4 linked regions of the Drosophila melanogaster genome follow. The protein of the gene in region 3 purifies or fractionates together with the protein of the main gene of each other region. This does not show direct contact. Each region holds a gene or a part of one and is shown on either strand. Other genes may lie near its edges.

Region 1 (7,008 bases), on a different chromosome or scaffold from region 3:
ACACAATAAAATATTCTTTTAAATTGTAACTTATTTATTCGGCACTTATTTAATCGTTTTAGTGATTATTTGTTTTAAGGATATCTATAGTTGTGCCGCATACCGTAGGGATTATAAGGTTTTAAGCTTCGATAGATATTGTTAGCGTGTTCGTAAACCATTTAGACCGTTATTTTAATACGAATTTTTGAATGGCTTCACACTATTCCGGACAATTTATGTTATTTCTGACCGACATGGTCGGCGGATCCCACATTTCGGCTAACCACAGCCACTGCACTGTTCCTTACCCTTTGCCACTGCAATGTTCCTTACCCAGTGCCGTTGCCTCGAAATCTATCTTCCACTTCCACACACCTGTGCCAGCTCATGGGATCCATCAGAACAGTCGACTATGCCGTTGCAGGCTAAGCTGGTTTCCTTCGCTCGCCGGTTACTGTTCTCAACACATGGAACATAATCATAACTTGCTCCTCGTTTGGAGGAAGATATACACAATGAGGCAACGCTGGGTCTGGAGTATAATTGAACTTAGGCATGCTCTTGTATTTAAAAAGTTTACAGCGTGTATAAATAATGATTTACGAGTACCTAGCATAATGCTTAGCCACGAAAAATAATATGTATAATTGTTAAATTAATTAGAATAAACAAAGAATTACATACAATCAACTAATAGATAACTAAAAGATAATTATCACTTTTAAAAAATGAAGAATTAATTTAAAAAATTATTACAATTTAATTTAGCATTAGAGAAGAGGCTGCACATAATAGCATGGTATTGTATAAACATATAACTAGGGATGCGTGTCCGCACATCTGACCTTCCCCATCGGTTCAGATCAGACGAAGACGCGCATCAAGTCGCTGCTGGTTGGAGTGGAGTTGCCTCCCGGATTGGAACTGTTCCCCTTCCAGGGAGGATTGCTGTTGGCGCTGGGAGTGTTGCTGCTGTTCAAATTGCTGATGTTGTTCATGTTGCTGATGTTCATGTTGCTGCTGCTGTCGGACAAGGTGCGCAGCAGCTGCTTTTTGAGGAGCTGCTGTGGCGAGTGGCTCTGACTTTGGCTGGCGTTGTGGTTGCTCTGGAGCGGCAGGGTGAAGCTGGGGCGGCCGAGGGGCTGCAGCTGCTCCAGCTTGCCGGCCAACAGTCGGCGGCGTTTCTCGTAGAAACTGAAGGTCAGCTTGTTGTCCTCCTCCTTGTCGCGTTCCTTGTCCTTCGTCGGCTGCTCGCCGCCATCCTCGCTATCCGGTGGTGGCTTCTCCTCCTTCTTCGCCTTTCCCATTAGCAGTTCATTCAAACGCTTGGCTGTCATGACTCCCGGCGATCCGCTTGATCCACCACCAGCTTTTCCTCCTACCAGCGCCCTCTTATTGCACCTCAGGCGATCTTGTGCAATGACATTCGATCGCTGAGCGTAAATGGTTCTGCCCGAGGCGGGATTCTTACCCGGCAGACCGTTGCTTAACGCTGGCGAGGGCGGCGGCGGTGTGCGGGCCAGCTGACCGACCACGCCCAGGTGATTACCTCCCGACAGGGATAGCAAATTGTTGTTCGCCTTCCGCGTGGTCAACAGATTCTTGCGGAAGGTGACGCCCAGGCCCTGGGGCAACTTCACCATGCCAAACGTGTTCATGGCCAAGGGACGAGGCGCTCCGGAGTACAGCATCACGTTAAAGTAGCTGTCCTCGTGGTATTTGGCATTGGCCAGCGATGGATGGTGATTGATTTGAGGATTTGTTGTGGGTGGCTGGCTGGCGGCCTTGGCCTCCAGCTTAACAGTCTTTACGGTGTCGCTAACAGTCTCCAGTTTACTGAACTCAAAGTCGGCCAGTTCATCCGCCAGTTGGTTTGCCTCCGTTCCAGAACTCAAGTTGGTTTGTATGCCGCCCGATTGCACGACATTCACGTCCACATTTTCGTAGCCCGCGTTGGTTAGGAATTCGGCTAAGACCTTCTGCTCCAGCATGGAAACGGGATTCGACTCGGTGATCTCGTATATAATACTGGGCAGGATCATGTGCTCCTCCAGCTGCTGTTGCTGTGGATTGACCATTGCCTCATCCGTCAGAGACGGCACGTTGTAGACGCTGAACTGGCGCTGCTGCTCGTGATCCTGAAGCTTCTGATCCTGCTGCTGCTGTTGCTGCTGCTCTTGCAGTTGCTGCTGCTCGAGCATCTGCTGCTGCTGGTAAATCAGTTGCTGCAACTGCATGGCATCGATGGTGGTCAGCTCCTGCTGATGCTCTTCCTCGCCATAAACCTGCTGAACCGCCTGCTGCTGGTACACGGCGTAATCCTCGCCAATGGTTCCGTCCTCAAAGCGCAGCCTTTTAGTGGCCTGTGCGGGATGCGATAGCGATCCATTCTGCGCTTGCTGTTGTGACTGCTGTTGCGATGTGTCCAGAGCGCTCTCATCGAAGTTATTCAGAATCTCGTTGATCAGCTTGCTGTCCAGCATTTCGTCGAGCGTCTGCGAAATGGAGTTCTCGTCGGAGGTGTTGGGCAAGGGCAGTTCCTCCTCATCGGGCGCCACCTGCTCGGCGGAAACCGCTCCCGTGATGGAAGACACTGCCTGGTCCAGTTCGCTGAGCACTTGCTGCTGCTCGTAGGAATTCACCAGAGACTTATCTTTGTTCTTCTCCTTTTCCGCTTTTATTCGATGATCGCTGGAGCCCTTCAACTGAAGAGGATTTCGGTAATTGTATCATTGAGTTATTATAGTCACAATTATATGAAATACCTTTTTCTTTGGCTGCAGCTCGGGCAGCTTTTCCGCATCCGTCTGAAGCTGGGCAGGTGAATAGTTGACCCCCATCGCCACCTCGCTGGAGGCCGCTCCCAACGTGGGAGTGGGCGGTAAGCTGCAGGATGAGTTGCTGGAGGAGGAGAACATGGTTATGGCAGCCGGAGCAGCACCCACAGATGGTGGCTCCTCCTTAACAACAGCAGCGACGACGGGAGGAGCGGCTATGGCCGAACTCTTCTTCGATCCCTTTGACTCCTTGTGATTGGACTCCAGCAGGGCCGGAGCTGGCGAGGAGTGGTGGCGGTTCTTTGACGACTTCGAACGCGACCTACTTCCGGCGGAAGTGCTGCTGCTGCCCTTAGACGAGGAGGAACTGCTACTTTTACTGCTGCTGCTCTTGTGACGCGACGAAGACGAAGACGACGTGGTGCTGGATGAACCCGCAGCAGCCGGATGCTGCAGTGAAGCCGAGCTGCTGGACCCGTTCGAGCAACTGGAGAGCGTCGAGGCCGAAAGCGTATCCGTGGGCGAACTTGGCACGATAGCCCCGCCCTCCTGACTGATTTCCGTGGCAGTGAGACGAGAGTCGCTGGATATGGCTGTCCCATTTGGATTGGGATTCACTTTGCTGGATGTGGCCTCCCAGACGCTAGGATGCTGCAGCGCAATGTGGTGCTGGAAACCTGCCTTCGTGTAACATCCCGAGCAGGAACTACAGAGTACTATATCGCGACTGGCCAGCTTCGGCGCCAGATCGTAGTAGGCCATGTCCGCCGATTGCAGACGCTGGACCTGCACCTTCGCCTGTTGATCTGCGCCGGCGGAGGAGTTCTTTCCACCACGCAGATACGTCTTCTCAGCCGTTCGCAGTTGCTTGATGACCTTTTCCATGTCGAAGACCTGCTGCCACTTTTGGCCCTGCAGGCTAAACAGGGATAGTCCCGCCGATCCCGAGCCGGAATTGGAGCCGGCCGACGAGTCCGGCTTCCACATTCCCGACACCTTGTGCTTGGTTCCATTTTCCGGATAAGCTCCACCACCGGCGGGGGCCACATCGTTCAGGGGCATTCCGGATAGAAGCTGTGCTCGCGGGATCCGGGGATTCGGTACACTCGAGCAAAATTGCCCCTTAAAGCACCTGCAAAACAGGATTGATTTATTAGTTCCAGAGAAACTTTGATAGTGACAGCTTTTAACTGATACTGCAATTCATCGCTGATAAAAAACACAAAATCTGGGGCTATGCACCATGAACCCCGGACCACGGAATCCCTACGAAATGCCCATGTTAAAATCATCACTAGTTTTCATACAATAAATTCGTATATTCTATTACATATACATATGTACGTGGTTTGAATCACCACCAGGCGTGTTTAACCCTAAAACTCAAATTTAATCTTATAAGTATATCTCAAGAAGATTACAACTTTATTAGATTTAGATTTAAGGTAAATTAAAACAAGAATAATCATTTAGAATTAATTATTTATTTTTTCTTTATTTTTTTATATTATAATTAAAATTTTTTGGTGCACGTTAGGATTAACATAAACAGAACCATCGTTATAATTAAATGAATAGATATCAGCAGAACCCACTTATACATATACAACATATCCATTGACCACAGGACCCTGACCCTGAATACATACATACATACATATATAGATTTTATTAGCAACGGAAAAGTATTGGACACTGCACAAACCACTTGTGGAGGGTGTGAAGACTGTACGTCTTGGAGTATTTCTATGCGTATATTGCCATTTTTGAATGAATCTCGAAATTTAACAAACTGTTGTTTTTGATATCGTAAATTTTCAGCGAAAGCTTACAGGTGAGTGCTGCCCCCGCCCCCGCGAGCGCCAACCCCTCGGTACCCGCACCCCTTGGTCTGGATCAGCTGTTTTTGACAACCGCTACTCGAGTGGCGCCGTCTCGCTCGCACTGCCGCACACATGCGCAGCCACTCACACCGACGCACAGCACACTCACGCACTTACCCACACCAATGCAACACAAACAAAGCACACGATTGAAAATCACAAAATAAAAATCACTTAAAATGCTCGCAGGCAATTTTAGTCGAATGCCGAATGATATCGGCATTAAATGACACTTACGTCGTTAACACACTTCCATGTTTTGTTGTTTTTTTTGTGGGTTTAGGTTACCGTTCTACCCTACCCGTGGATAAATCGGATTTTTGGCCGGCCTCCGTGGAGGAAAATGCCAGGTCAACTCGAAAAAGACGAGTTGGTTGTATAGCCTAATTGATTCTGTAACGAAATCAATTAAAGCTTTCTAGTTTGTCTCGCTTTTTCGAGTTTAAAGATTGATATTATGAATATCGTTGTATTTGCTTAGGGATGGCAATTCGCGTCTCGTTACGTTACGTTGTATTTGTTGCAGCTGCAGATTAAGTGCGATATGTTATCGATAGTCGCACAGGTATTCGTTGCATACGTAGCCGATATATTAATTACATGCATTTCCGCTGAAAAGTCAGTTGAATATATTTATGAATTAAAATCTTTTTAAAGGCGATAGAAAACTATACTTAACATTTCCTATTTTTACAAGCGTTTATTTGCTGGCACAAACTATAACCATAATTAAACGTAACATTAGTCATCTTCATCACTAAGCTCATCCTCCTCCTTTCTTCTGGACTTTTGCTCCAGTTCCTTGGCGTAGAGATCCTTGAAGGCTTCGTATTCCGGCAGGGTGACGTGGCAAATCTTTGTGGCGAAACTCTTCTCGGAAGTGTCTGTAATCTGATAGAGTTTGGGGTTCGTAGTCGGCTCATTTGGATCGGCTTTCGGAGGTCGTGGCTTAAAGAGGCCCAAACGAAGCAGGAACTGGTGGCGACAACGCAGCTCCTCGAATGACAAGGTAAGGGCTGCCGATTTAACCAACTCCGGCACTTCTATGCGCATCACGTCTGTGATGAAGTTCAGTTTCTCCTCAATAGATACCTCGGATTGTGCTATCAAATCCGGACTGTTCATCAAACACTTCCACACATTTTTGCTGGTGGAGACGCGACTTTGAAGGAAGCCGATGTGGGAAAGTAACTGGTGGGAGTCGCTAACGTCCAGTAACTCGGGGTACTTCGTAAGGAGCAGGTGCAGTAGATTCTCGCCGAATTGACAGGCCCTCCAGATTTCCAGGCAGCTTATTATTTTGTCCGGCGTTCTTTTCAAAATCGCGGGGTTACCGGTAACTATTCTAAGGAAATTCACGGTTTCCAAGCCGTGGTTTTGAAAAGTTTGATGGGCCCTTCGCCAGATTTCAGGTGAGAATACAGCTAACGTGGGTTCTATTTTGATGGCTTCATCGATGTGAATTTGTTCAAGCTGCAATATCTTGGGCGTTGCCAAGTGCCTTATGTGATGTAACTGGAAAGTAACAATTTGTATCTAATTTCTATCTAATGCATTCATGATTAACTCACGTTTGACTGTTGTTTTAATACAGCTTGTGTGTTAAATAATAGTTTCCGCAACATTTTTGGCGATGTCCTCTTAAATCGGCGAGCAAAACAATGAACAGCTGATCTCTTCTTCTTTGCAATGACAGTTACCGAGAAGCGTGAACAACGGCATGTTTAGCTGGTACACCCACCATATTCGTCTATAGCTTAATTGTCTATTAAATCGCACGCATCGAACTGTTATTCTCGTCGGGTGCACAGCAAATTGTTTATAAATAGAACTGTCGCGCATAAAAAACAACAGTGGAAAGTTTTATCGTTTAGTTCTGCTACAAGCTCAGCGTAAGTTTTTTTTCTTTATTTTGTACATATGTGTGTATACATGTGTGTGAGAGTTCAACTATAGCATAATTATAATCAAACTCTGAAAGAGATATAGCTTAATGTTATAAACTAAGTACTACCCGGCTTATTTAACCAAAGAATTCAAATTATTTGTCGCCATTTGGAACCGTACAAGTAAATACATACATATGTATGTAGAAAACGACATGTAAACTGATCGATACACTGATAAAAATTTATATTCAAGTGAAAAAGCTTAAATCAAATTTATAAATGGATGTGAAATGTATTTTTATATTTCTTTTAAATATACATAAATCCATACACAAAAACCCAACTAATAAATTGTTGATATTGAAAAGGAAATCATCCAGAAATTAATCAAGAGAATTAAAATGTTATTTTTGTAATAATCTTAAAAGCTCTGTGTATCAGAGCGAACGTGACAAGTGTTTTTACTTAATGAGGAAA
Region 2 (4,989 bases), 6.1 Mb from region 3:
ACGCAATTATCGAGTTGAACACTGAAAAGAAAGCACGTTTCGCAAGTAATGGCTAAATTGTAAAGACTACCACGTATGGAAATTAAAAACTAAATATACCATGTAATAAAGGATAATTGAATTCAAGCAGTAAGCAACTACGGTTAACATTTTCATTGTACCATCGGCATATCCACGATATCCTTTGCCATTTCCGGTGCAGCCTTGGAAAGGATGAAACGCAGATGTGGAGCCACGTATTTATGTATGCATGAGCCTTTGTACAATGTCCTAGAGATTCGATTAAACTCCCGCCCCTAAGATATAATTTTATAACTGAAATTATTTACTAAACCAAAATAAAAACAAATGAGAAGAACTCTAACTTTAAAAGCATGCGAAACAATGAATGTAGGAAATCAAAAGTGAAATAAAGAGTTAAGACAAAAACGTAGTGGTTACACATCATTTGACCAGCATTGGTTTTGTCCACTGGATGAAGGGAGAGTGGGTGGATTCGTGGTTAATGAGTAGGCGATAGATCTGATTTATTCTTCCCAAAGACACAACGCGTCTGTGAACAAGACGGACACACTGAGCTTAACCTAAGTATCTATAACGACAAACTAACTATATGGGTTTTTCTTTAGCTGGGGAGAATTCTAAAAATAAATAGAATTAATATAATAATTTAGTTCGATTAAATGTTCGGCCTTATGCAGGGCTCCTCGGAATCACTGCATCATTTGTCCCACAGCCCCAGCTCGCGCATCTTGGTCTGGAAGTAGCGCTCCAGGGAGTTGGCACACCGATAATACTCGGTGTCGGGCGAATTGTAGAACCGACAGTTGGAGAAAATGCGCGCCATGTCCGCCATGAACAGGCGGCGCGTTTGGTAGTAACCCTTCTTCAGGCGCTCGCCCATGGTCTTCAGGTCCATGGGATATTTAATGTGATCGTAGTAGTCCGGAACTTCGGCCGCGGTCACCGGGCGCAGGAAGGGCCAGGCGGTGGTGTGCTGGCGCACGGATTGCAGCACGGATGCAAAGGACGTGGCCAGCTTCTCCGGATCGGTGGATTCCTCGAGGGGTCGCGATGAGCGCGCCGGACGATTTTGCGGCTTCCAACCGATCTCCCGCAGACCAGGAATCGATTCCACGGGAATCACGGGCAGGCCCTCCTTGAAGCAAGTCAAGCCGGGTCTTACTTTCTGCACCTCGTTGTGGCGCTGTGCGATCAGCTCCTTCAGAATCTCGCTCTGACTGCGAATTACTGAAAGGAAGAATTGGAGTGTAAAATGGGACCATGGATTCCTTGTCCATTCTTTGACTAACCAGCTATGAACTGCGTGTTCACAATGCTTGGATGCAGCTCGCAGTGCATGAGAGTAGCACTATCGTACTCCTTGATGTAGCCCGCATAAACTGGTCGCGCCAATTTGATGTCCTTGGAGAAACCCTGCTTCTTGAAGTACCCGATGGCATCGCAATCGGCGAATGTGAGCAGATGCTTGATACCCCTCTGTATGCTGTAGTCCTTCAAGTGGTTCATCAAGTGCGTGCCATAGCCCTTAACTTGTTCCGACATGGTGACCGCGCAGAAAACGATCTCGGTGAAGCCTTGCGACGGAAACGGGCGGAAACAGATGCCGCCGATGGGTTGGTTTTCCTTGATGAGCGCCAGTGTTTTGTGCTTGGTGTCGAAAACCAACTGGCTGATGTACTCGCGCGGCATCTCGGGTAGCTGATAGGCAAATACGAGCTGCAGGCCCAGTAGCCACAAAACAGTCTGCTTGTCCACCGGTTTGGTCAGCGAATTGCCCACCACATGGAACTCAATGGCTCGCTTCTGCTCCTCCGCCTTGACGTTCTCATCCCGCGACACATTAACCGGAAAGAGAATTTCCGCTTTGTTGGTGGTCTTCGACTCGGACACCGATTTCATGGCGCGCATTACTACATCCGCAGGCAGGTCATCCAAATTCTCACTGCGGCAGGACGATTAGTAAATGTATTGAAAGAAGAAAAAACTGATTACCAACCTGCTTGGACGATCGGTGGGCTCCTTTTTGATTCGCTTGTGGAGCGGTTCACCCACACTGGTCCTCTTGTTTCCACCAATGCTTGCTGCACTGGGACCAATGGGTACATTTGCCACCTCCTGGTTACGCTTTCTCTGCTGGATGACAAAGGAATTTGACGGGCGGTAGCTGGTATCCCAGATGGGCGAATCATCCTTGAGCAATTCGGCGCGAAGCGTTTCCAAAAACTTCGGCATCAGCGTGATGATCGAACGCTTGTCCTCGGGAAAGCGATCCCGCTCGGAGATGCACTTCTTTTTCAGCTGCTGCGACATGCACTGGAAAACGGTGCGCAGGAGCGTTCGTCCAAACACTAGGGACGTTTCACATTGGCGCAGGGAGTTACAGAAGGCGGGCACGTGGCAGAACACCAACCACCTGGTGTAGTTGATTTTGTAGTTAGAGGCATCCTCGTGGGTGAGATCTCCTCTCCTGGTCGACGGCGATTCAAAGTTGTAGTGGTTCAGAAAGTTCAAGAACGTCTTGGCCACCTCGGTCATGGTTTGGAGTTCAGGCGTGCTCAGGTGATTGTACTTGTAGAAGACCAACGAGAGCACAGCCTTGGTGATGCACGGCGTCTCGAATGGTGGATCGCCGAGAGGACCCCGGATGACCGCCTGCTGGCGCGTGAGGACGCACTGGCGCAGCAAACGGAAGAGGTACTGGTACACCTTCTTGGTGTCCTCGTCCTCGACGCGCTGCATGGACATGAATAGGTTCTCCATGTCTATAATGGCGCCCAGTAGCTCGTTCATGCTGGAACTGGATATATTGTCCAGATGGGCTATGTGCGATCTCAGCGAATGGCGACAGCTGGTGTTGCGGCACTCCTCGTTGAACTCCGGACAGTAGGAGGACTCGACGTCACGGTGGCGATTTTCCTGCGGTGTCTTCCAGCCGGTGCAACGGCATCCCTCAGACTGGCAGGCGGAATACATCGACAATTTGGCCAGTTTCTGTGGCACGGGCAGATTGAAGACCTTTTGCTTTCGCTGCTGAATGCGCTGTAGGCTGTTCTGGCGCGTTCCCTCTGCCGGCACACTGCCAGCGCCGGACGCAGCTCCTCCGTGTCCTGGATTCTGGGCGCTGCCAGCGGCTCCAGATGCACCAGCGGTTGCTGCGCCATTCGCTGCCTGCTGCTGCTGTTGCGCCGCAGCGTTGCCCGTGTTGTTACCATCGATTGGTTGGCTTTTTATCGTTATGGATGGACCACCAGACATTCCAAGATCGGCAGATATTGCGATTCTCTTCGTTAGTTTTGAACAAAGTGTACTTTTCCTTAAATTTCACAAGCGATACAACGAGTTTGCCCACTTGCTGTGCGCAATGATGGTGCTGCCAACCTGGCGTTTTGTGCAAATGAATTTCTCTCGGTGGTGAAATAATGGTTGAATATATATATTCTATTAACGATTTTACGTTTGTCCATATAGTGTATACTCGTATTATCTGGTGACAATGTTTTTAGACTTTGAATTTAATAAGTAAAAATTAGCAGGGGCGTAGTCAAAACAACTGAAAATTTGTAAGGGGGTTAAAAAGAAAATATTGCGCGGTTCTGCAAATTAATGTGACCCTGGTTTTAACTTATAATACAATTGTGTGAAAATTGCTCACAAAATTAATTTTAATTAATATTATTTGTAAGAAAATACGAAGTCTACGCCCATGCTCACAACTGTTTTTTTTTTTGGCGCTAATGCAAAATGCACTGCAATAAAGAAATCCCCTTTGAAATCGCAGACTAAGCAAATAGAATGGATTTTAATCAGAGTTTCGAGGACATAGAAAGCCAGCTGGATAACTTCGTGATACGCAAGAATCAACAGAGTGAAAAGTCCACGGGCAAATGTGGTCCGGAGGTCCACGACAACGTGCCGCTGACCATATCCCAGATTGAGCGCGCAACTCAGGATCCGGAGAACGAGAATGTGTTCATCACAGACGACGTGCATCCGATTCACTTCTGCACCTGCATCATCTACGCCTTTGTAACTGGCAATGGAACGCACAACGAGTCGTTCATGAAGTTCATGATCGATGATGGCACCGGCTCCCTGGAGGCCAGCATCACCAAAAAACCCTTCAATGGACGCGTGATCAGCAGCCTGTACAGTGAAGCCAGTTCGCTGGCCTCGTCCGAGGCCTACAAGAGCATTGCCGTGAGCATGATGCGGCTGCTGCAGGTCTCCATGGAGTACATTGATCCCACGCGCATCTCGAGGGGCCACAGCCTATTCCTGCGCGGTCGTCCGAATAGGTTCCGCGGCAAGATGGGTCTGGACGCTTTTCAGTTCTTCATAGACAGCGGCCGATCGCGGAATATGGAAATTGGCTTCGTAGACTACCTAACCGACTGGCAACGAAGGCATAAAACAATGCAGAATACAACAAATAAATAGTATCGTTGGTTTTTTGTATTGAAATTTTACTGGTAATAAAAATTCAAAAAGTTTTAAATAAGGAGAATTTAGGTTGTTTTTGCTCGTATGGCGGCACGTTTGCCGGTGACAGCCTGGAAACCTGACTTAATGCTGGCCACCGAGCAGCGGGAGCCACAGGATTCGCACTGCAGGAAGAAGAGACGCGTGTCCTTCTGCAATATCGTTTCCGGGGAGCGGCAGGTGTGACAGGTGACGTACTCCTTGATGTAGCGACGCAGCACATTCTCGATCTGTTTGGGCTGGAAACGGCCCTTGATGATCAGCTGCTGGTTGCCGTCCATGGAGCCACTGGTACCCAACTCGGCCAGCAGGAAATCGAGCAGATGCTTGGGCAGGCGATGCAGCGTTTTCGCAATGTCCATGAAGTTGGCAAAGGAGGTCTTCTTGGTTCCCACGCGCAGCACCTGCGGCGGTCGCATCACGAACTTTGGCTTTCGGCCGGCGGCCATGTCCGGATTCTTGTCGAGAATGATTTCGAAGACCCGC
Region 3 (5,714 bases):
CAAGCGTTCGAACCAAGCGCACACTATAGTTGTCTCTTTTTAGCCTGCTCATAGCACAAGGCAGAGCGATGGAGTGAGAGGGCTCGCACATTAAAAAGCGTCATTCTGATCGCTCCCAGTACCGCAGGCTCGTTGGTCTAGAGGTATGATTCTCGCTTCGGGTGCGAGAGGTCCCGGGTTCAATTCCCGGACGAGCCCAAGTTGACGTCGGTTGTAATTTTTTTTTGTTTTTTAAATAATTGCAATGTATCTTAATCCCAGTTTCCTAAGCCCCCAAAAATGTAAGTATTTAAATTTACAATTATTGCTCTCCTTATTTAAATGAAGACGAAATAAAAAAAATCCATGACATTCATAAGCATGATTTGGATTTTGGTTCAGTTATAACGGATGTGTCTGAAAATGAGTTTTTAACATTTTTTTTTTCAATAAAAGGCATTTCAAGAAAAATGATAAAAATTCGCTTTCCATTTGTAATACGGCGTTTGTAGAATATCCCTTGTTTGATTTTTAAATATAAATGTATAAGTCATCTGCTTGTTGTTTTTGATTTTGTTTTTAGTATTATGGATTTGAAATACTTAGAGCAAAACGGGTATCTCCACAAATCGAGTGTTCAGATTGATTACATTTTCATTAATTTCCTTTTTTTTTGTTCTCCATTGTTCGTTCCAATGTTTTGAGTTTGTGAGCTTGAATAACCCCAATCGAATCAAATGAACACTCCTCAAATTGTAGGATTGCTTTCGTGTTTGTGTTAATATTACTTAATATGTAAGCGCTGCCGCGTCCTTGTCTGTATTTTGTGTTTATTCGTAATTCGTAATGCATTGACTTCTGTTTTCTGCTTTTGTTTTTTGAGGGATGCAGTCGCTGCTTTAATCGATCTCAGCGGATTTTCTTACTCGTATTCCAGCACATTTTTATGGTAGAACAATAAATAACTGAAAGAAGTGAAAATAAGTAGTTAGTTAATAATGATTTGATAATCCGAATAAAAAGCTAAATAACGTTGTATATGAATTTAAGATAAGACGTGAAATCAACTTAAGTAAGTTAACATTGAATGCTGCTTTTGCGGTGATAAAGTTGTAATATATTGGTCATTCTTACCCCTCGCTGTCCAGCACCTGCTTGAGCGATGCCATCGTTATCACATGATCATCGCACTTGACCCACGTGTCCTTCTGGTGCCGCACATACGCCGTATAGTGGCCGGTGTCGATGGTGCCCACATGATTGACCACGGCGTACAGAGAGAACCGGAAGTCGCCGTAGGCGTTCTTCTTCTCCGACATAAAGGGCGTCATGTCGAACTCCACGGGGAATTGAATGAACGAGGAGATCTTGCGATCGATCAGAGCTGAGTGCTCGAAGCGTTTCAAATGGAACGACACCACGCTGGGCAGAGTGCGCAGGCTGAACTGTTTGGTGGACTCCTGGTAGGATTTGCAGGTAGAGCACTTGATTTTGGCCGCCGATCCGAGATGCTCGGCCCGAGTGTACCGCTCCAGGCAGTCTATCAGCGTTTTTGGAGTAACACCACCATGCGTTGTTGTTTCGCCCAGGTCCAGCGAAATGTCCCAAAACGGATCGTACGTGGTGGACACTCCGTTGCAGGCCTGGCACACCACATCGCTCTGCAGCATGCCCGTGAAGATCTGGTCAATGATGCAATTACACTGGCCGTAGCAATGCGAGCTGCTCGAGTTGCTGGAATTGGTTCCACTTCCCGAGCCAGAGCTGTTGCTCTTGCTTTCGTGCTCCGCCTTTGCCTTCACGCAGTGCCGATGCAGCACGTCCAGAGTGGCGATGAAGAACTCGTGCGCATCCTGCTGCTCGTAGCCGGCCAAGTGCTTCGCATGGTTCCAGATTAAATGCAGTAGCCGGTGCAGCGACAGCGGCGAACGGGAGCCGGAATAGAACTCCTACAAAGGGGGATAGCATATCGAATAGAAAAGACTCCTCATAAACACCACAGCATATTGAACTCACCTGGAAGAGACGTGACACTTCACAAACGAGACATTTGTGCGATGACTTGCTGCCGCAGTCGTGACGATCTGACATAAAGTAATCGCTGAGCAGGGGCGTGTGAACCAGAGCCTAGAGGAGACAGGAGTAAGTCAGTGAGAGGAGACTCGCCAGTTTAATTGGATTTGCCCACCTGGACGATGCAGTTCATGAAGCAAGTGGCGCCCAGATTAAGCAGACCCCTCAGTCCGATCGTTTGATTGGGCCTCACCAGCCGACGCCTCGCATTGGCCAGCAGCAGATTGGTCTCCTTGGTTGTGGGAACCCACGGCACCCAGCCGATGCTCTTCTGCAGATCCTTCGCCTCCAGCTTGCGGTTGATCAGCGCATACTCGCGACTCCGCGCGTCGTAGATGAAATCTCTGCAGGCGTAGCAGTAGAGCGTTCCGTGGGACAGCTCCAGGGCCACATTGTGCTTCTTGGATCGCAGGTGACTCGTGATGTGGGCCCCCCGACATCCGAAGTAGATGCAGTGCAGGCAAGCGTACAACTGGATGCCGTAGCTGCCGCACTCGAAGCAGTTGCAGTGAATAGCCTGGCGGAGGTAGATTTTAAAATGGCAGCTGATAAAAAATTATATTCGTTTTTTTTCTAATCCCATTAACTTTACAAAAAATACGTCCCATACTAAATGCATAAAAGTGTAACAAAAATTTGAAAACTCTAAATCTCGTAAGCAATATAATATATAATCAATATGAAGCTAAAAATACAAAAGCCATGTAACAATATTAAATATTTTGAATATATTTTTCTTGATATGTAATTTCACCGTAATGAAAACAAAACTTTTTCGATGCAAAAGTATTTTTCACAGTGCCAATTTGTCAGCTGTTAAAACAGCTGTTGCATGCTTTACCCATTCAAAAAAGTCCGCACTGCTTTGTGGTGAGAACGGTGCGTTGTCTGCCACTGTCATCCCACAGCCGGGGTGTCAGTGACCTTTCACGTGACTCACGGCGCACCTCTGATTGTAATTGCGTTCTCCCCTTCGCACACTCGCACATTCTCACCTCACCACGCCAGTAGCGCACTCATTCTAGCTCCCACTCTCTTCCACGCTACTGAACTCACCTTTCGCTCGCGCGCATCTCTGTTGACGCAAGCAGCGAAGTAGGCGTCGATGACCCGGAATGTATCGTAGCTGTGCTCCTTCACATAGCTTTGATAGTGCCGACAACCCGTCTCGGACATGACGGCGCTGCTGGCGTCGGCGCTAGCGTTGGCTTGGGCGCTGGCGTCGCTGCCGGCGTCGGCGCTCTCAAGTTCAATAGCAAGTTTTTGCACGGTACGCAAGCAGTCCGATAGGCGCAAATGTTTGGTGGCATCTAGGGGGTTTTTCGCGTCCCTGTGGCCCTTTGCTACTCTGTCTCGCTGCTTGTCGCTGTTAACTGTTTTGATTAGATCGGCGGTGATAAAGCGACCGGCATTTGTTGTTGTCGCTGCTGCTGCTGCTACTGCTAGTGTTTCGTTCTCGGCCGTTCCCCGGCCCGCTTCTGCACCCACCGCCCACCGTTCCGTTCCCCTGCCGAAGCTTCGGCCACTGCTGCTGCTGCTGCTACTGCTAAATACGCTCGTATTACTATCAACACTATTCTCTTTTGTTTTCGCCCGTTTCGCCGACGACTGCAGCGGCACGAATGCTTTGTCACACTTGCGCTGTTTTCGCCGAATTTTGGCCACTTTTGCGGTTCTTCGCCGGGCGGCCCAATTTTGGAAGTAGTTGGGCTTTTTTTTTGTGAATTTCTGTGATTTTTCGCTTGCTTTTCTTGTTTCTATTTCGCACTGCACGCAAACACATACACACGCGCGCATATGTGTTGGTAGAAGACAGCTGTCAGTGTGACCAGTTGCGAAATCGTACTCAGATGTTGGCATTGGTATTTTTCTAATATAAGAGTATTGAAACATTTAAAACGGAATATTAGTTTAAATAGAAAGTAAACTAAACCATTCAAGATAAAGTTATATTGAAATGGAATCTCTATTCGGGTTATAGGAACAATAAAAGGTTCTAGCAGCCCAAATATTGAAATGCATCCATATTCGGATAATTACGAGCTACTTATTCCTCAAGTTTATAATGGGATACAATTTTGTATACCAGTAACCATTCTTTATTTTTAGACTGGTCCCATTTTATTATAAAACGGTTAAAGTCGCCCAGCTGATGTGTTATCGACAGCAAGCAGCGGGTGGCGCGCAAAATAAAAATACTAAAAGTTAGACGGGAGTCGAAATAATTTGCAGGCACTTTTAGATATGCGAATAAATAAATATTAAGTGACAAATCAGTCGTTAGCACCTTTTTTTCCTTGAACATCCCTCACTTTCGCATTCTGCTTTTCGAATTGCCAACGATTCGATAACTCCGCTGCATCGCTATACAACACTGCTGCATTTGAAAATACCGACATCTGCCTGCGAGTCGCAGCAGGCGCGCTTGTTTTATTTTAAGTCGAAATTAGGCGACTTAGTGACTGAAAAAGATGTACAACGACGAGGTGCGAACGCCGCAAGCCCTCAAGAATCGATACATTACAAATGTGAACGGATTGAAGTGCCGGGCGCGCCGTAACAGCCACTCGAACAGCAGCAACTCGTCGGCGGCGTCGGCAACGCCAACGAATGGCGGCAAAGAAAATGGAAAATACAGCCCCCAGATGTCGGGAAATGTGTGCACCCCGCCCCCGAAAAGGCTGCACAAGGTGCGGAATCCCTTCGAAGGAGCGATGGCCGATCGTTTACACCTGCCACTGATCGCCAGGTGAGTTTTTCGTCTGCTCGAAAAATCCTCTTAACGCGACCCTCTCTTTTCCTGGCAGCCCCTCACTTTTCCGCTCGCGGACACCCCAACTCTCGTCCACCCAGTTCGAGTGGAACATTGACGAGGTCTCCCAACTAAAACCCGCCGACGTGGAGCCCCATGAAACCCAGTTCCACGATTCCCCCGATCCCGAGCAGGAATCCAAGGCCCAGTTGGCCATCAGTGCCTTTTTCAAGGAGTCACTCATTGTGCCCAGTCCGGTGGATTGCCCATTGCGAAAACAGCGCATAATACTCAATTGCAGCGAGGACAACACTCCCATATCGAATAAGTCGCGAAGGATGCGGGATTGCGAGGTGCAAACGGAACTTACTTTGCCGCCGATATTGCCAAAAGCCCTAGAGGATGCCCTGCGTCCGTACTTCCAGCCACATTTGGCTGGCCGCTTGTCTGGCAGGAGCAAGTCAAGTGGTGGTCCCGACATCTTTAATAGTTCCATGCGCCGGAAACTCTTCGATCTGCACAATGTCATTGTTTTGGGCGAACAGGACACGGCAGAGCCATCGAGGTCCATGGTGGGCTCCAGTCCGCAGGGCAAGCAAACAATGTTCGCTGGCAGACTGTCGGATTCCGCATCCGGGGAAAGTAGCTTCGGCTGCCTTTCACCCATTAGAAACCTATGCGGACTGCCGCCTGGCACGCCCGATAATGGTACTTGCTCGGGAAAGAGGAAACTTCTAATGCACGAGCTGGAGCTGCCGTCGCCCATTGCCCCGTCGGAGCATCTCAGTCGGAGATTGGTGCACTCCAAGGTAGAGATCAGCGTTACGGAGCAGCACGACACGTTGTCAGAGCGCACGGCATTGAAGTTCACGCCAGACAGGAGTTCCTCGCCCATGGGCGGCGGACTGGA
Region 4 (5,620 bases), on a different chromosome or scaffold from region 3:
ATGATATATTTTTGTAGGTATACGGTTACAGAGTGCATGCTTTAGGGTGCCGCATTGGACGAACATAAGCTAGGATAAATAACTAGTGGGTTTCTTGAACTGAATGAGTGATTTTGTTAAGTTTATAATACCGAAGAATGTCATTAGATAACCGCATTTTCATTTAACAAGTTTTAATCTTCGCTAATTTATAAAACATTCCATATGTGTTAACATATTAGATATTTATATATTTTTTCCAGCATTGTTTTCCATTCCTCAGCCTAGTACATTGATTATCATGCTCTCATGGGCTTTAATGAATTACGTTCAAATGCATTGTTCAGAATCTTGCCTAGAAAACTAGCTACCATAAGAAATAATATACGAATATAAATACTCAACGCGGTATTATCGCTATCAGAGGCTTACTCAATACCTTACTTCTTACATATCCTAGCGGCATTCAGTCCAAAGCGGTCTCCCAGCTGTGAGATCCGAGAAACAAGTCGCGTCCTTGTTGTACATTCACTATTACATTTATTACTTCATTTACAATTCATATCATACATATTCAATTGGTTGGGTCCCCTACTTAAGCTTAGTTAATACACAATATCTGAATCCCGACATCTCACACAAAGGAACAACACTTATTGTAATTGAGCTTGACTTGATACAAGTAAATTGATTTTCAGTTTTGTAGTTTTTACCTTGATGAAAATGCCAACGACAGTTGAACAGTATAAAAATGTCTTTAACCTATTCTAACTAATACAAAAATAAAGTGAAGTCCTTGGAAATGCATGTGGCTCTTAATCGAAGGGGAGCGGGAAGTTGGAAGATGTTCAGTGGCTCAGCCAGCCGCACTTGATAAAGAACTTGCGCAGCGAAGTCTCCATAGGACTACCCAACGATGGTGCTCCGCTCAAGCAGACAGTCTTAACCGAGAGGTAGGTGGTGGGCGTAATATTATGCTTCTTGCACAGATCCAGCTCGTTGTGACTGAGCAGTTCACTGCCCGGCGGCTGTGGCAGATGTTTTAGTTCCTCCAGCTGGGTGCGCAATTTCAGGCTCATGCTGGGCACCTGATCACTGCCTCCGCCGGCGGCCTCGTTTTGCATTTTGTGCTGGTTGCCGCTTTGCAGGAGCTGAGGATGCTGCTGCAGCGGCTGCAGATGTTGTTGGCTTCCCTTCGCCGAGTTCGTTGGCAGATTCGCCATCGTCGTAGCCGTGGAAGTCACTCCCGTCGTCGCTCCCGAGTCCACTGTTACCCCCATTACCATTCCCGTCGTCTGCAGCATCGTAGCTGCCGACGATCCCCGACAGCTATCCAAGTAGTTTTTGCTGGGCAATAATGCGCCGGAGCAGGTCGGGTCGGCGATGTGGAGCGTGTTTCTTGGTGCGATTGAATTTGAACTTGCCTCGCCGCCGCTTGACATTTCGCTAAATAAACGAAAAACCGAATTATTCAAGTTCTAAGGTAATTGCAATTTTTTGCCAAAATACTTACACCTTTCTGAGATTCGGTTGTGGGGAGTGCAAGGAAGAGCTTGGCGGCCGATGACTTCCATTGGAGGTATGCGTGTGGTCCTGTGGTTAAACATTGTCTTATAGAACCATTCGAACGCTCGTTGTTTGGCGCGTTTATTATGCAGTGGAGCTGAATATCGTGAGACAAGACGGAAAAGCGATTGTAAGAGTTGGGTCAGTTCAGGTAAGGACGACGGTTAAAGCAAGGCAGAACACACGATATTCAACTCGTCATGCATTCTCAGTGGGAAAAGCTTACTCCAAGGGGAATGAAATCGAAACTAGCCAATTTGACCATTTAATATTCTGTATTAAGTATTCCAAATCGATTTATCCAAACTTTTATCTATACATTCAACTTAAATCATTTGTTTTCTTTCAATTTAAGTTAATCTACTCATTGTTGATAAAATTATAAAGCTACCGGTTCCGGTCACCTAACACCTCTTTTAATTTTTGTGAAACAATCGAAAGAAAAGGTAATGTTTGGATTTTAATAATAAAAAAAAAAATAACAAAGTTCCAAAAAGTTCGGATTTTCAAGACCAAATAAAATATTTAATGGTTAGTTCGATTTCGGCACCCCTGTTGCGGAGCCTTAAACTTACGGTCTTGCCATGGCCATATGGTCCTGTAGAGCGGTGCGTCGCTGTTGCGGCGTGCTGCTCGAAATGTGTGCATTCCGCGATTTTGGTCAGGCCATTATACCGGTATCGGTACAGCTCTGACTGTCGAATGCGCAGTTCCTTTTCGCGCTCCAGTGATCCCAATAGCCGCTCATACTCGTTACACGTGTAGAACTGGGCGTAGACCCGAAATCTGTCCCGAAACTCGCGCTGCTCCTTGGTGAGTCCTTGTTGCTGAGCGTAATTTCTGTTTCGGAAGAAATTTGATACTAATTGATAGTCCCTGACCATCCGTTTCCTGCGAGCACGCTCTCTGAGTCGGCGGGTGTATATGTCAACGTGGGCCAGCTTAAGCATCACATCCACCTCCGTATCCTCGGAGCTTAATGAGATGTTCGAGATCAGTTGCTCTGCCGTGGGATCGTACTCCCGCTCAAAGCTGTCCCTGTTGGGCATGTAGCCCAGCTGCATGGCCTCATCGGAGTTGATTTCCAGTGGAGGCAAGGTAGAGAGAGCATTGGTGCCCAGAGGACCAGCGTCGTCGTCTCCAGTGTGATCGATAAGGCGGGGTCTCTGGCTCTGGGCCGGCGTCCAAGTGGCCCTTCCAATCGTGCCATTTACAAACTTATTCACGTACTCCTCTTTGGCATCCTCCGCTGACTTCGTCTCAATGTGCTTGCTAATGTCCTCCCAGTTTCCAAAGCCGTACTGCTCGATTGCATCCAACAGGCGGATTTCCTCTCGTGCCGTCCACGCCCCCTTTCCACGAAATACACTCAATATGGAAGTGCCGGTGTCCATGAACTGGTAGGAGTGGTTGTTTTGATGGGCGCCGATCTCCGCACCTGCGGCAAAGCACTGCGCAAAAAATAAACAATACAATATAAATACAGAGTCAGCTGTTTTTTAATCAATATGGTGAAATTGCCGGTTGTGTGTATGTATTATTTGAATGTCTAGATGAGTCAGTTTTTGGTTCCAAATTGGCGACGCATCTCTAGATTGTACGAGTGTGGGTGTAACAGGGTGGGTCGATTATGTTGACAAAGAAAACGTGTAAATAGTTCCTCGATAAAAATAATTTGATTAGGAAATTAAAACAGAAACATATTTCATATTCCCTAAATTTACGCTTTGTCAGGCCTTTTTTTAATACAAGATTCAGACACTTATTTTGACATTTTTTTCTTTTTAATTTATGGCATTTAACTAAATAAAAATGACACTGCTAATTCGTAAGGAAGTAATTTTTAATTAAATTAACTACGATAGTCTACCTATTTACCAAAATCAATAAACAAATTTCCTTTAAATTAACAAAAAGTTAAAGCAAATATTTTTCTTGTCAAGATCTGGGTGACGTTAATTTAGAGGATTGAGGCCATATGGCCATTAGTTTGACCATCCAAAGAGGGTGATTCAAGAATATTTTGTTAAAATAACTGATTTTTATTATTTACAAATCTATATACAAGTATCTAGAACCTCAAAAAGAGCGAACCACCCTACTGCAACATGTATACGTGCGTCGCTCGACGGCGTGTATGTGTGAGTTACTTACTTGCAGACACAAATCGAAGTTTTCGCACTCCGCGCAGTGCACTCGAATGCCCTGAATATCATCCTGGCAATTTGTGCAATTATACTTTGTGAATAAATCCGCGATTGTGGTCATTTTGGGCCAAAACCTGGATTTTCACGACAATTATGAGTTGTGCGAAAAAAACCTATGCCAGTAATGTGACCAGACGCGAAGTCAACGCCATATTGCTCTACTGAGAATTCTTATATGTACGGCCAACGAACCGAACCAGTTCATCGGAACAGTGCCGCCTATATAGCTAGTCTTAAAGCCTTTTTAGCTAATTTTCATAATTCTGTTGAATCTCTGAATTATAGTTAATTTCTAAATTATACTACTTACCAAAAGTACCAACACATTAAATATAGAATACAAATTTCAAACATTAGGCACATGTTCAAAACTCTAATGTTTATGCGTTAAATATTGATAGTAGTTTATTTAATTATTTTAAAAGTTTAATTCGAGTGTTTTGCCTTTTTTAAATTATCACAAAAAATAATATTAATATATATAAAATAAAACTAAAATAAAAGAAGTGCATATCAAACCAAAACAAGGTAAACATAAATACGAATATGTGATGGTTGAAACATTTGTAGCGTGGTGCTGAATAAAAATATAAAAAACTCATGTGCTTAAATGCAGTTCGATACGTAAATTTAAGCGGTGGTCAGGATTAAAAACTTAAGCTAAATTCTGAGTTACAAAAAAAATATAAAATGGGTAAATATCTTTTGTTTCAAACAAAAAGTGTAAAAGTAATAACTGCCGAAAAATATTTCGGTTGCTTACATCTAACATGAATAGGGCGTGGGACTGCCGAGATATTGTAGGTTACAATCATTACAATCATTGGGAAGGATTTGGGGTAGGCTACGCTGTATAAATAGTTGATTATTCGATTAGTTCATATGGTGAATACGTTTATATTATTGTTAGTATTGCTGTCTTACACCGAGCAGTAGCCGAATTGTTATGGGTTCCAGATATCTCAGTGGGCGGTGAGGACTAGTTTGTGTTGCATGTGGCTTTGGTGGCATTGTTGCTAGTTTACTCTTGCTAGTTAGCTTGGACCAGAGAAAAACAAAACGAGTTACACGATACAAAATGGGTTAACAGATCTTAAACAGATATGGCAAGTTACTTGTGCAGCTGCGCTTTTCAAAAACACGCACACGGCCAACAAAATTTATCAATTCGAGTACCTAAAAACGTCTAAATAAGTCTATTTGAGCGCCAAATTCGGTTTTGGTGTCGCACCTGCGTCTGATCCTAGGGACTGAAGTATGTTTAACAATACTGTTCGAGGACATTCAAGAGTTTGAGATTCACGATTTTCACAGATACGGTTCGATTTGAATTCGCTTGCGTAAGGAACTAAGGAAAAGTCACAGCGCAGGCGCGACCCCAGTCGTCATAATTGACGACTGGCAACGGAAACAGATCCATGTCCAGATCCGTCTGAACCGCCTGCTCCCAGCATCGAGACTCATAAGCAGGCGGCCGCGATGGATGGGCTCTCAAAATTTGCATAAGCGAGTAGTCCTAAAGCATAACTATCAACTAATTTGGTATGTAAAGTCTTTGTGTCTTTGTCATGGGCATTGGCGCGATGAGGGCTCAAGGTCCTGTGGCAATGGCCAACTAGCAACAGTATGACCAACATGCCGGCAGATGCCACAAACTCTGCACCATACTCACTCGGATATGGGAACCGATTCGCTGTGCTCGGTGTCTCGTCTTTGTCTCTAAACTCTCGCTGCTCATCGTCATCGTCTTGGGAAGCGTCTAAACATTGGCTAAGCTTGGCGGGGATCACTGGTGTGGTGAAGCTGGAATAGGTGCTGACATGGCTTTTGGCGGCGCTCAGCCCAACAATATGCATATGATTGCACAC

Evidence for each region.
Region 1: the proteins of not (region 3) and Atxn7 purify together in Drosophila melanogaster (affinity purification with western blotting; 2 studies listed by BioGRID, with this or other methods). This does not show direct contact.
Region 2: the proteins of not (region 3) and Gcn5 purify together in Drosophila melanogaster (affinity purification with western blotting, with the first as the bait; 3 studies listed by BioGRID). This does not show direct contact.
Region 4: the proteins of not (region 3) and Ada2b purify together in Drosophila melanogaster (affinity purification with mass spectrometry; 3 studies listed by BioGRID, with this or other methods). This does not show direct contact.

Annotation. Positions count from the first base shown.
Region 1 is NT_033779.5:2,374,015-2,381,022, reverse strand, and holds Atxn7 (ataxin 7), read right to left. Parts: upstream 5,183-7,008; 5' UTR 4,880-5,182; exon of another isoform or gene 4,760-4,879; intron 4,691-4,759; exon of another isoform or gene 4,351-4,690; intron 3,892-4,350; 5' UTR 3,822-3,891; coding exon 2,748-3,821; intron 2,688-2,747; coding exon 846-2,687; 3' UTR 517-845; downstream 1-516. Other genes in the region: CG15390 (uncharacterized protein), read right to left, coding at 5,384-6,157, 6,214-6,267.
Region 2 is NT_037436.4:12,520,625-12,525,613, forward strand, and holds Gcn5 (Gcn5 acetyltransferase), read right to left. Parts: upstream 3,391-4,989; 5' UTR 3,280-3,390; coding exon 2,021-3,279; intron 1,967-2,020; coding exon 1,314-1,966; intron 1,252-1,313; coding exon 722-1,251; 3' UTR 505-721; downstream 1-504. Other genes in the region: ver (verrocchio), read left to right, coding at 3,817-4,461; eIF2beta (eukaryotic translation initiation factor 2 subunit beta), read right to left, coding at 4,530-4,989.
Region 3 is NT_037436.4:18,618,264-18,623,977, forward strand, and holds not (non-stop), read right to left. Parts: upstream 3,867-5,714; 5' UTR 3,850-3,866; coding exon 3,109-3,849; intron 2,570-3,108; coding exon 2,168-2,569; intron 2,107-2,167; coding exon 1,996-2,106; intron 1,929-1,995; coding exon 1,114-1,928; intron 945-1,113; coding exon 902-944; 3' UTR 543-901; downstream 1-542. Other genes in the region: bora (aurora borealis), read left to right, coding at 4,524-4,801, 4,860-5,714. UniProt on the Drosophila melanogaster protein: Histone deubiquitinating component of the transcription regulatory histone acetylation (HAT) complex SAGA. Catalyzes the deubiquitination of histone H2B, thereby acting as a coactivator in a large subset of genes.
Region 4 is NT_033777.3:8,236,611-8,242,230, forward strand, and holds Ada2b (transcriptional adaptor 2b), read right to left. Parts: upstream 3,906-5,620; 5' UTR 3,814-3,905; coding exon 3,700-3,813; intron 2,997-3,699; coding exon 2,121-2,996; intron 1,643-2,120; coding exon of another isoform or gene 1,573-1,642; coding exon 1,493-1,572; intron 1,426-1,492; coding exon 828-1,425; 3' UTR 504-827; downstream 1-503. UniProt on the Drosophila melanogaster protein: Component of several Gcn5-containing histone acetyltransferase complexes that regulate nucleosome organization; involved in acetylation of histone H3, particularly on Lys-10 (H3K9ac) and Lys-15 (H3K14ac).